Linked DNA regions of Callithrix jacchus. The protein of the gene in region 2 purifies or fractionates together with the protein of the main gene of each other region. This does not show direct contact. Links are inferred from orthologs where the notes say so. Each region holds a gene or a part of one and is shown on either strand. Other genes may lie near its edges. The genes, in order: SMARCC1 and CARM1.

Region 1 (3,902 bases), on a different chromosome or scaffold from region 2:
TTTACTGAGACTGAAACTGTAACTGCTCTGAAAATGCAGCAGTATTAAATCCAATAGAACCAATCTTTTGGTTTTTAACCAAATAGAAATGCATTGTGTAGAAAAGAATCAAAGAACCTTCTGATGGTATTTTCACCACTTTAACAGTAACACCCAGAGACTGAAAAGATTCTGGCTGTCAAGCCTAAGGTATACATGATTCTGAATCTGAGTAGACCCTAAAAATACTCTCTGGCTTTACAAGTTCAGAGAGGTCAAAGGTAACTTTGTCTATAAAGTCTCAGGTACAGTGAGTCAACATTACCCAGGTGGTCTCAATACTGCCAAGCAATTCCTCAAACTGCTTTGTAGCCACTTCCCTACCCGCCCAAACAAATGCCTGAAGGATTATCCATGGCTAAAGCTTCTTGTAGTTGGTCCCAAACTGATGCACACTGAAGAGTCTGGAGAGGTAGAAATTACTGAAATTTGCCTTTTTCTACTCTGTTCCTTGATATTCAAAGGAATATGCCTCTAGATTACTTTTCTTTGTTAAATCTCCACTGAATTTAAGACCCAAGCACATTCACCTGTGTGCTTCAATTAAAAAAAATAAAAGACCCAAAGCTTAGATGAGAAAAAAAAAAAAAAAGACCCAAAGCATTGGCTAAAAGGAAAACATATTCAATTCCATTAGCCACTTCTAGAAGCTCTATTACCCACATTTAAAAAGTGACCAATTTATCACTGTTTAAGAAAGGGCAATATTCTTAAAAATGTACAGTCTAAATATAACTTCAGAGGGAGGGGAAATCTAAGCACCTAAAAATACAATTATTGTCTCTCACTTCCTCAAACTTCAGATAAGAAATGTAATTTTTCTAGCTAACCTTCAAGAAAGAAAAGAGAAAGAGAAAGGAGCGTGGGAGGAGAGAGAAAGGAGGGAGGGAGGGAGGGTCGGTCATTCCTTTTTTTTTTTTTTTTTTTTTGTTCTTGTTTTTGAGGGGGACAGAGTCTCACTGTATTACCCAGGCTGGAGTGCAATGGCGCCATCTCGGCTCACTGCAGCCTCTGCCTTCTGTCTTCAAGAGATTCTCCTTCCTCAGCTTCCCAAATCGCTGGGACTACAGGCATGTGCCGCCACACCCAGCTAATTTAGCATTTTTTCTGGAAAGACGGGGCTTCACCTTGTTGGCCAGGCTGGTCTCGAACTCCCGACCTCAAAATCCGCCCACCTCGGCCTCCCAAACCGTGCCTGGCCAGAAATGGTCACTTCTGAATAAACCACGTGTAATGCCAAAGGAACCCAAGATCCCTGCCCATGCCTAATAACTGCCCAACACCGACAGGCTTCACTGAGCTCTAGAGGCCAAATAAATAGGTTCCTAAACCAGTTTATCTTTTCATTCATTCAACAAATATTTACTAAGCAGCTATTCAGGGTAAGGCAGTAAGTATCAGCGACGTTCCCAGATACACTGCAGTGAACAAAGCCTTTGCTTTAGTGCTATGATCCTCAATGGGGAAAAGTACAGAACTGAAGAGGGTGCTGGGAAAATTTCAGAGGCTGGAGGAGGCTTTTTGGCTACCTGCTTCATTACACCCTTTAAGGGACTCTTCCTGAATATTTACACAAAGGGGAAATTTTTAAAAAAGCATTTCTTATAAACAAGGGATTAAGTCAAAACTTTGAAAACTACTGACTCGGCGGAACTTCCATTCTAAAGGTAGGAGAAATAAGTAAATGAATAATTGATTTCAAAATCTGGTAAACATTACAAAGAAAAAAAGGTAACATAAGGAAAGTGCTCTAATAAAAACTGGGTTCTCGGGAAAGGCCTCCCTGAAGAACCCCTTAAGTACAATGAACATTAACTCTCACACCACACCGAACCAGAAGTATAATCAGGTAAAAACCGTTGTTTAATAGAAGTTCACATCCATCCTATATAATTCATATTAACCTGTTAGTAATTAACGAATATAGTCATCCCAGTTTAGTTGTTTAGGAAATCAACAACAGGTAGCAAACCCCCTCGAGGCTTTGAATACTCTCTATAACAAAACTTAAAGCTTTTACCACGCTTGCTCAGTCTTTAGGGATCATTGTTCAGACACCTAAGGCAGCTGACGAAAGAAAGTCACACTCTCCCAGTGGCTAAGCTCGACCTGCTCTGGCACACGAGAATGAGCAAGGGCTTTCTCCAGGAATGCGTGGGTTCAGAGGAGCGAGCCACGAACCCGTCAAGCCCCGGGCGCTCGGGCGCCGAAAGCGGACGGCGGGGGCGTGGCGGGCCCAGCGCCTGCCTTTGTTGTCCCTCGTGGCGCGCGGAGGGGGAGGGGCGGCCCGGGGCCCGCGAGGCCAGCTGCCGCCTCCCGCCCCAGTCGCGTGGTCTGTCGGCCCCCGCGAGCGCGCGAACCCACCTTCTTGTAGTGCTTGCCCAGCCATACCCGCACTGAATCCAGCTGAGACACCGTCTCCGGGCTCTCCCAAAACTTGGTGGCCGGGCCCCCGTCCTTCCGCCGATAAACGGCCAGGCCTGCTGCTACCGCAGCAGCACCCGAGCCCGTGGAGCCTACTGCTGCCCCTGGGCCGCCACCGCCGCCCGCTACTGCAGCCATCGTCGCCGCCTGTCGCCCTCACCGCCTGGCCCACCCCGACCCTTGCGGTGCTTCCCGTTCGCTCCCGCGCGCCCTTGCGCGCGTAGCCGCCACCGCCGCCTGCCGGCCCCGCCCAGCCAACCCCCTTCCGGCGCGGACGCCCGGCCCCGCCCCATCTCCGGACTGGCGCCGTATCCGTCGCGAGCCCGCCCACACGCATGCGCAGCTATTCTGCGGCCCTGCAACGATTTCCAGTCGCCTCTTCCGCCAGCCTCCGTAGGCTGTGGACGTTCTCGCTTACTGAGCGCGGGTCTTTGAGCTCCTTGCTCTTCTCTCGCTACAGACGTCCAATCATGATGCGGTCAGCAACCGCAGGTGGGTTCTGTGTCATCGCCTGCTCTGCTGGACAGAAAAGGCCTGGTACGAGAAGTGCCGAGAGGAAAGCCTGTCTAGGGTATCCAGTGCTGGCCGAGGACCCTGCGCGCGGACTGGGACTGCGCTGGGCTCAGCTTTCCGGCAGACCCTCCACCCGGAGCGGTCCCGCGGCATTTTGCACAGCCATCTGGGATGCCCATGCCTGAACTTAATGGCTTCACAGACCTTCCCCTCCCTCATGGCTCCAGCCACAGCGGCTCATTCCTGCCCCAGGGGCCCTGGCACCGGCTGTTTCCGAGACTTCCAACAGGTCTTCCCTTCTGATTTTCACTTAAGAGACGCATTCAAATTCACTGCTTCAAAGCACTTCAGAAAGTCGTCAGATCTTAAAATCTTGAATAACTATTCTCAACCACACATTTTCTCGTAGCGCTCACCACGATCCGGTGTTTCTAGTTTCTCACCTTCCACATAAATTACATGAGAACCTAATCTTGACTTGTTCACAGGTGTAACCTGAACACCTGGGACAAGGAATAAGATGTACAGTAAATACTTGATGAATTAATGAATGGCCCACATAGAAGCAGAATGATTATTAATTATTAACAAGGTATGAGGCTGGGCACGCTGGCTCAAGCCTGTACTCCCAGCACTTTGGGAGGCCGAGGCCGGCGGATCAGCTGAGGTCAGTAGTTCGAGAGCAACCTAACCAACATGGAGGAAACCCCGTCTCTACTAAAAATACAAAATTAGCCGGGCATCGTTGTGGGCTCCTGTAATCCCAGCTACTAGGGAGGCCGAGGCAGGAGAATCGTTTGAATCCGGGAGGCAGAGATTATGATGAGCCGAGATCGCGCCATTGCACTCCAGCCTGGGCAAAGCGAAACTCCGTCTCAAATAATTAATAAATAAATAAATAAATAAATAAAACAAGATATGATTGG
Region 2 (3,902 bases):
AACATGCTGAAACCCCATCTCTACTACAATACAACAACAAAAGTTAGCTGGGCATGGTGGTGCTCGCCTGTAGCCCCAGCTATTCGGGAGGCTGAGGCAGGGGAATTGAACCGGGAGGCAGAGGTTGCAGTGAGCTGAGATCGCAGCACTGCACTACAGCCTGGCCGCAGGGCGAGGCTTTGTTTTTTTAAAAAAGGAAGGAGGCGTAAATGAGGTTTCGGGGAGAGTTAAAGCTGGGGTGCTGGGAGGTGGCCCAAAAGGGATGGGGCCACCGAAAGTGAGGGGGGATGCAGAGAGACACAGGGGTTTGTGTTGCGGGAGAGGGTGCCAGCGCCGGGCTGGGCTGGACTTAGCATCTTTGGAGGAACGGCTCAGAGAGGAGGGGGTCAAGGATATCTTGTGCGAAAGGAGTTAAACTTTAAGGATGGGCCGGGCATGGTGGGAATCACGCCTGTAATCCAACACTTTGGAGGCGAAGGCTGGCGGATCACCTGAGGTCGGGATTCAACACCAGCCTGACCAACATGGTGAAACCCCGTCTTTATTTAAAAAAAAAATTTTTTTTAATAAAAAAAATAAAAAAACTTTAAGGATGAAGAAGGGAGTGTGGGGGGCAGAGATGATAAGGAAGGAAGGAGGGGCGGTCGAAAGACGGGAAGAGGTCCTTTCAACCAGGCTTAGATTGCGCTAGGAGGCGGAGGCCCTTCGGAAACGGTCGATGTCGGGGAGACCAGGAGGCGGGGCCACAGAGTGGGGGCGTGCCCCGAGTGCTGACCACGCCTCCCCCCCAAGCCCGTTCCCAGAGCGGGGCGCCTCACAAAGCGAGTCCGGTCGGGAGGGCGCGGGCAGGTACGGGGCATCGTAGCGGCCGGGCCCCGCCTCCCTGCGGGCTGCCTCACAAAGCCGGGCGGGCCCGGGGGGCGGAGCCCGGTGTCAGGGGCGTGTCCAGGTTGGGGCCGGGAAGCCGCATCACAAAGGGCGGCCGTTCATGCGGGGCGGGGTCCAGGGCGGGGTTCAGGGCGTGTCCGTGCGACGGAGCAAAGCCTCTCCGTCTCCGCGTCTCCGCGCCCCCGCGCCGCCTTACCCAACGCGGCCGTTAAGGAGGCGCGGGCTTGGGGGCGGGGCCCGGGTCTCCGACGGGCGTGTCCGCCAGCCCGAGCACCGCCCCGACGCACACTCCTGCCCCTCTGTTCCGGGCGGCGGAGCCACCTCACAAAGCGGCGACCGTTCTCGCGGGGCGGGGCGGTCCCGCTCCCTGGCGCGCGCTCGCGCGCTCGCTCGCTCCCCGCGCCCAGGGTGGCCGGCAGGGGGCGCAGCACCACGCGGCCGGGCTGCGGCAGCGGTGGCGGCGGCGGCAGCGAGGCGGAGCGTGGCCGGCAGGCGGCGCTGCCCGGCTCGGCCTCGGCCTCGGCCTGCACGGCGGCGGCGGCGGCGGCGGCGGCGGCGACCTGGGCCCGGGCGCAGCGGCGACGGCGGGGCCTGGAGCCGGATCTAAGATGGCAGCGGCGGCGACGGCGGCGGTGGGGCCGGGCGCGGGCGGCGCGGGGGTGGCGGGTCCGGGCGGCGCGGGGCCCTGCGCGGCCGTGTCCGTGTTCCCCGGCGCCCGCCTCCTCACCATCGGCGACGCGAACGGCGAGATCCAGCGGCACGCGGAACAGCAGGCGCTGCGCCTCGAGGTGCGCGCCGGCCCGGACGCGGCGGGCATCGCCCTCTACAGCCGTGAGTGCGGGGCCCCGGGGCGGGTGCAGGGCCGGGGTGCGCACGAGGCCGGCTCGGGGCGGGGGCCGGCAGGGAGGGGCCCGGGGCCCTGGCGTGGGGTCCCAGGGGCCGAGCCCGTGGCCGGCAGGGAGGGCGCGTGGAGGGCGGGTGCCAGAGATCAGACAGAGAAAAGAGGGCGTGCGTGGTGGCCGGAGGGGCGAGGTACCCGGAGTGAGCAGGGAAGCGGGAAATGGGGAGTGAGGGGCCTGAGATTTGAGAGGGGAGGGTGGGCAGGAAGTGGGGGGCCCTGAGTGGAAGGGGAATTTGAAGGAAGCTGGGCATGGGGGGCTTAAGCGTGGGGTAGGGAGGCTTGGGGTGCAGGAGAGGTGGGCGTCTCGGGGGCGGGCGTGGCCGCCTCTGCAGGGAGCAGGGTGGGGCGTGGGCGGCCCGGAATTCTCTCTGGGGACCCCTGGACAGCTCAGGACGGTCGGAAAGTGTTTGCTTGCCCGGGAGGACCGAGTTCCACCCCTGTGAAAGGCATGGTGTTTAGGACCCCCGAGAGGGAAACTTCGGGACCTGGGGAGAGGACCCATGCGTGGACGGTGGGAGCCGCAGGATGAGCTCCTGGTGGAAACGTGAACTGGCGGGGCCCCTTCCTGATGCCGGGCTTGGAAGTAAGAGGTAACACAGCTCTCTCCCATCCCTTCACCAGGGATGTGAGACGCTGGTTACATTTTCCGAAGCTGCTTTCAAAACTGACATTTCACGGGATGGTGGGGCGGGAGAAAATCACAAATGTTTTTGCCGCCCCCACCGCCCCCGGTCTTTGTAGTTCATTCTTCTTGTTATTCTTCTTATCTCTTCTCTTTGATTCCTGGTTCACATTTTGCTATTCTGTGTCATTTGGCTTTGTCTCTCTGGGCTTCTGGCACTGATGCCCTGGTGAGCCCCTCAGGAGGCCTCTAGCTGGCTTGGGTCCCGTGTGAATTTTTTGCCACTTTGGGAATGGGCCGATTAACGGAAATCCCGAGGAGCAGTCGGTTCACACTGGGTTTTCCCTGAACCTCGACTTTGAGAACGTGGACTAAAGGAGCCGTGTCTGCTGCACAAGGGTGCCGTCTCTTTGCTGGGGCAGAGCCTGGGTCTTCTTGAACCAGATGAGGAGAGGGGAAGGAGGATATTTCAGGGGGGCTTTCAGAGTTCAAGGCAGACACTCAGCTCAGTAGAACCCCAGATCACAAACAAAACCTATTCATTGGTGAAGAATTGGTAGATAGTTCTGTCCTGAACAGAACAAAGTGGGGGAGCATTTCTAAAACTAGGGTCCCGGAGCTTATCCTCAAAGGAGTTCCAGGAGAGCTGGCTATCTTTTTTTTGTTTTGTTTTTTGAGAAAGATTCTCACTCTGTCTCCCAGGCTGGAGTGCAATGGTGCTATCTCGGCTCACTGCAACCTCCACCTCCTGGGTTCAAGCAATTCTACCTCAGCCTCCTGAGTAGCTGGGACTACAGGCCTTCGCCACCATGCCCAGCTAATTTTTTGTATTTTTTTTTTTTTTTTTTTTTTAGTAGAGATGGGGTTTCACTGTGCTGGCCAGGCTGGTCTTGAACTTCTGACCTCATGATCGGCCCGCCTCAGCCTCCTAAAGTGCTGGGATTACAGGTGTGAGCCACTGTGCCCGGCCCTGGCTATGATTTTTAAATAAACCTTTAAGTTTTTTTTTTGGACCAGGCACCGTGGGTCAACACTTTGGGAGGCCAAGGTGGAAGGATCACTTGATGTCAGGAGTTTGAGACCTGGCTGACTAACATGGTGAAACCCTGTTGTCTCTACTAAAAATACAAAAATTAGCTGGCCAGGGAGGCACGTTCCTGTAGTCCCAGCTACTAGGGAGGCAGAGGCAGGAGAATCACCTGAACCTGGGAGGCAGAGGTTGCAGTGAGCTGAGCCATTGCACTCTAGCCTGGGAGACAGAGCCAGCCTCCGTCTCAAAAAACAAAACAAAACACAACTTTTAGAACAGTTTTAGTTTTTTTTTTGTTTTTTGTTTTTTTGAGATGGAGTTTCGCTCTTGTTACCCAGGCTGCAGTGCAATGGCGCGATCTCGGCTCACCGCAGCCTCCACCTCCCGGGTTCAGGCAATTCTCCTGCCTCAGCCTCCCGAGTAGCTGGGATTACAGGCGCGCGCCACCATGCCCAGCTAAT

The links.
Region 1: the proteins of CARM1 (region 2) and SMARCC1 purify together in Homo sapiens (affinity purification with western blotting; 3 studies listed by BioGRID and IntAct, with this or other methods). This does not show direct contact. The link is inferred for Callithrix jacchus from reciprocal best matches to the Homo sapiens genes CARM1 and SMARCC1.

What each region holds. Positions count from the first base shown.
Region 1 is NC_133516.1:30,460,891-30,464,792, forward strand, and holds the start of SMARCC1 (SWI/SNF complex subunit SMARCC1), read right to left. Parts: upstream 2,703-3,902; 5' UTR 2,602-2,702; coding exon 2,404-2,601; intron 2,254-2,403; exon of another isoform or gene 2,060-2,253; intron 1-2,059. UniProt on the Homo sapiens protein: Involved in transcriptional activation and repression of select genes by chromatin remodeling (alteration of DNA-nucleosome topology).
Region 2 is NC_133523.1:10,039,659-10,043,560, forward strand, and holds the start of CARM1 (histone-arginine methyltransferase CARM1), read left to right. Parts: upstream 1-1,385; 5' UTR 1,386-1,496; coding exon 1,497-1,719; intron 1,720-2,159; exon of another isoform or gene 2,160-2,357; coding exon of another isoform or gene 2,358-2,379; intron 2,380-3,902. UniProt on the Homo sapiens protein: Methylates (mono- and asymmetric dimethylation) the guanidino nitrogens of arginyl residues in several proteins involved in DNA packaging, transcription regulation, pre-mRNA splicing, and mRNA stability.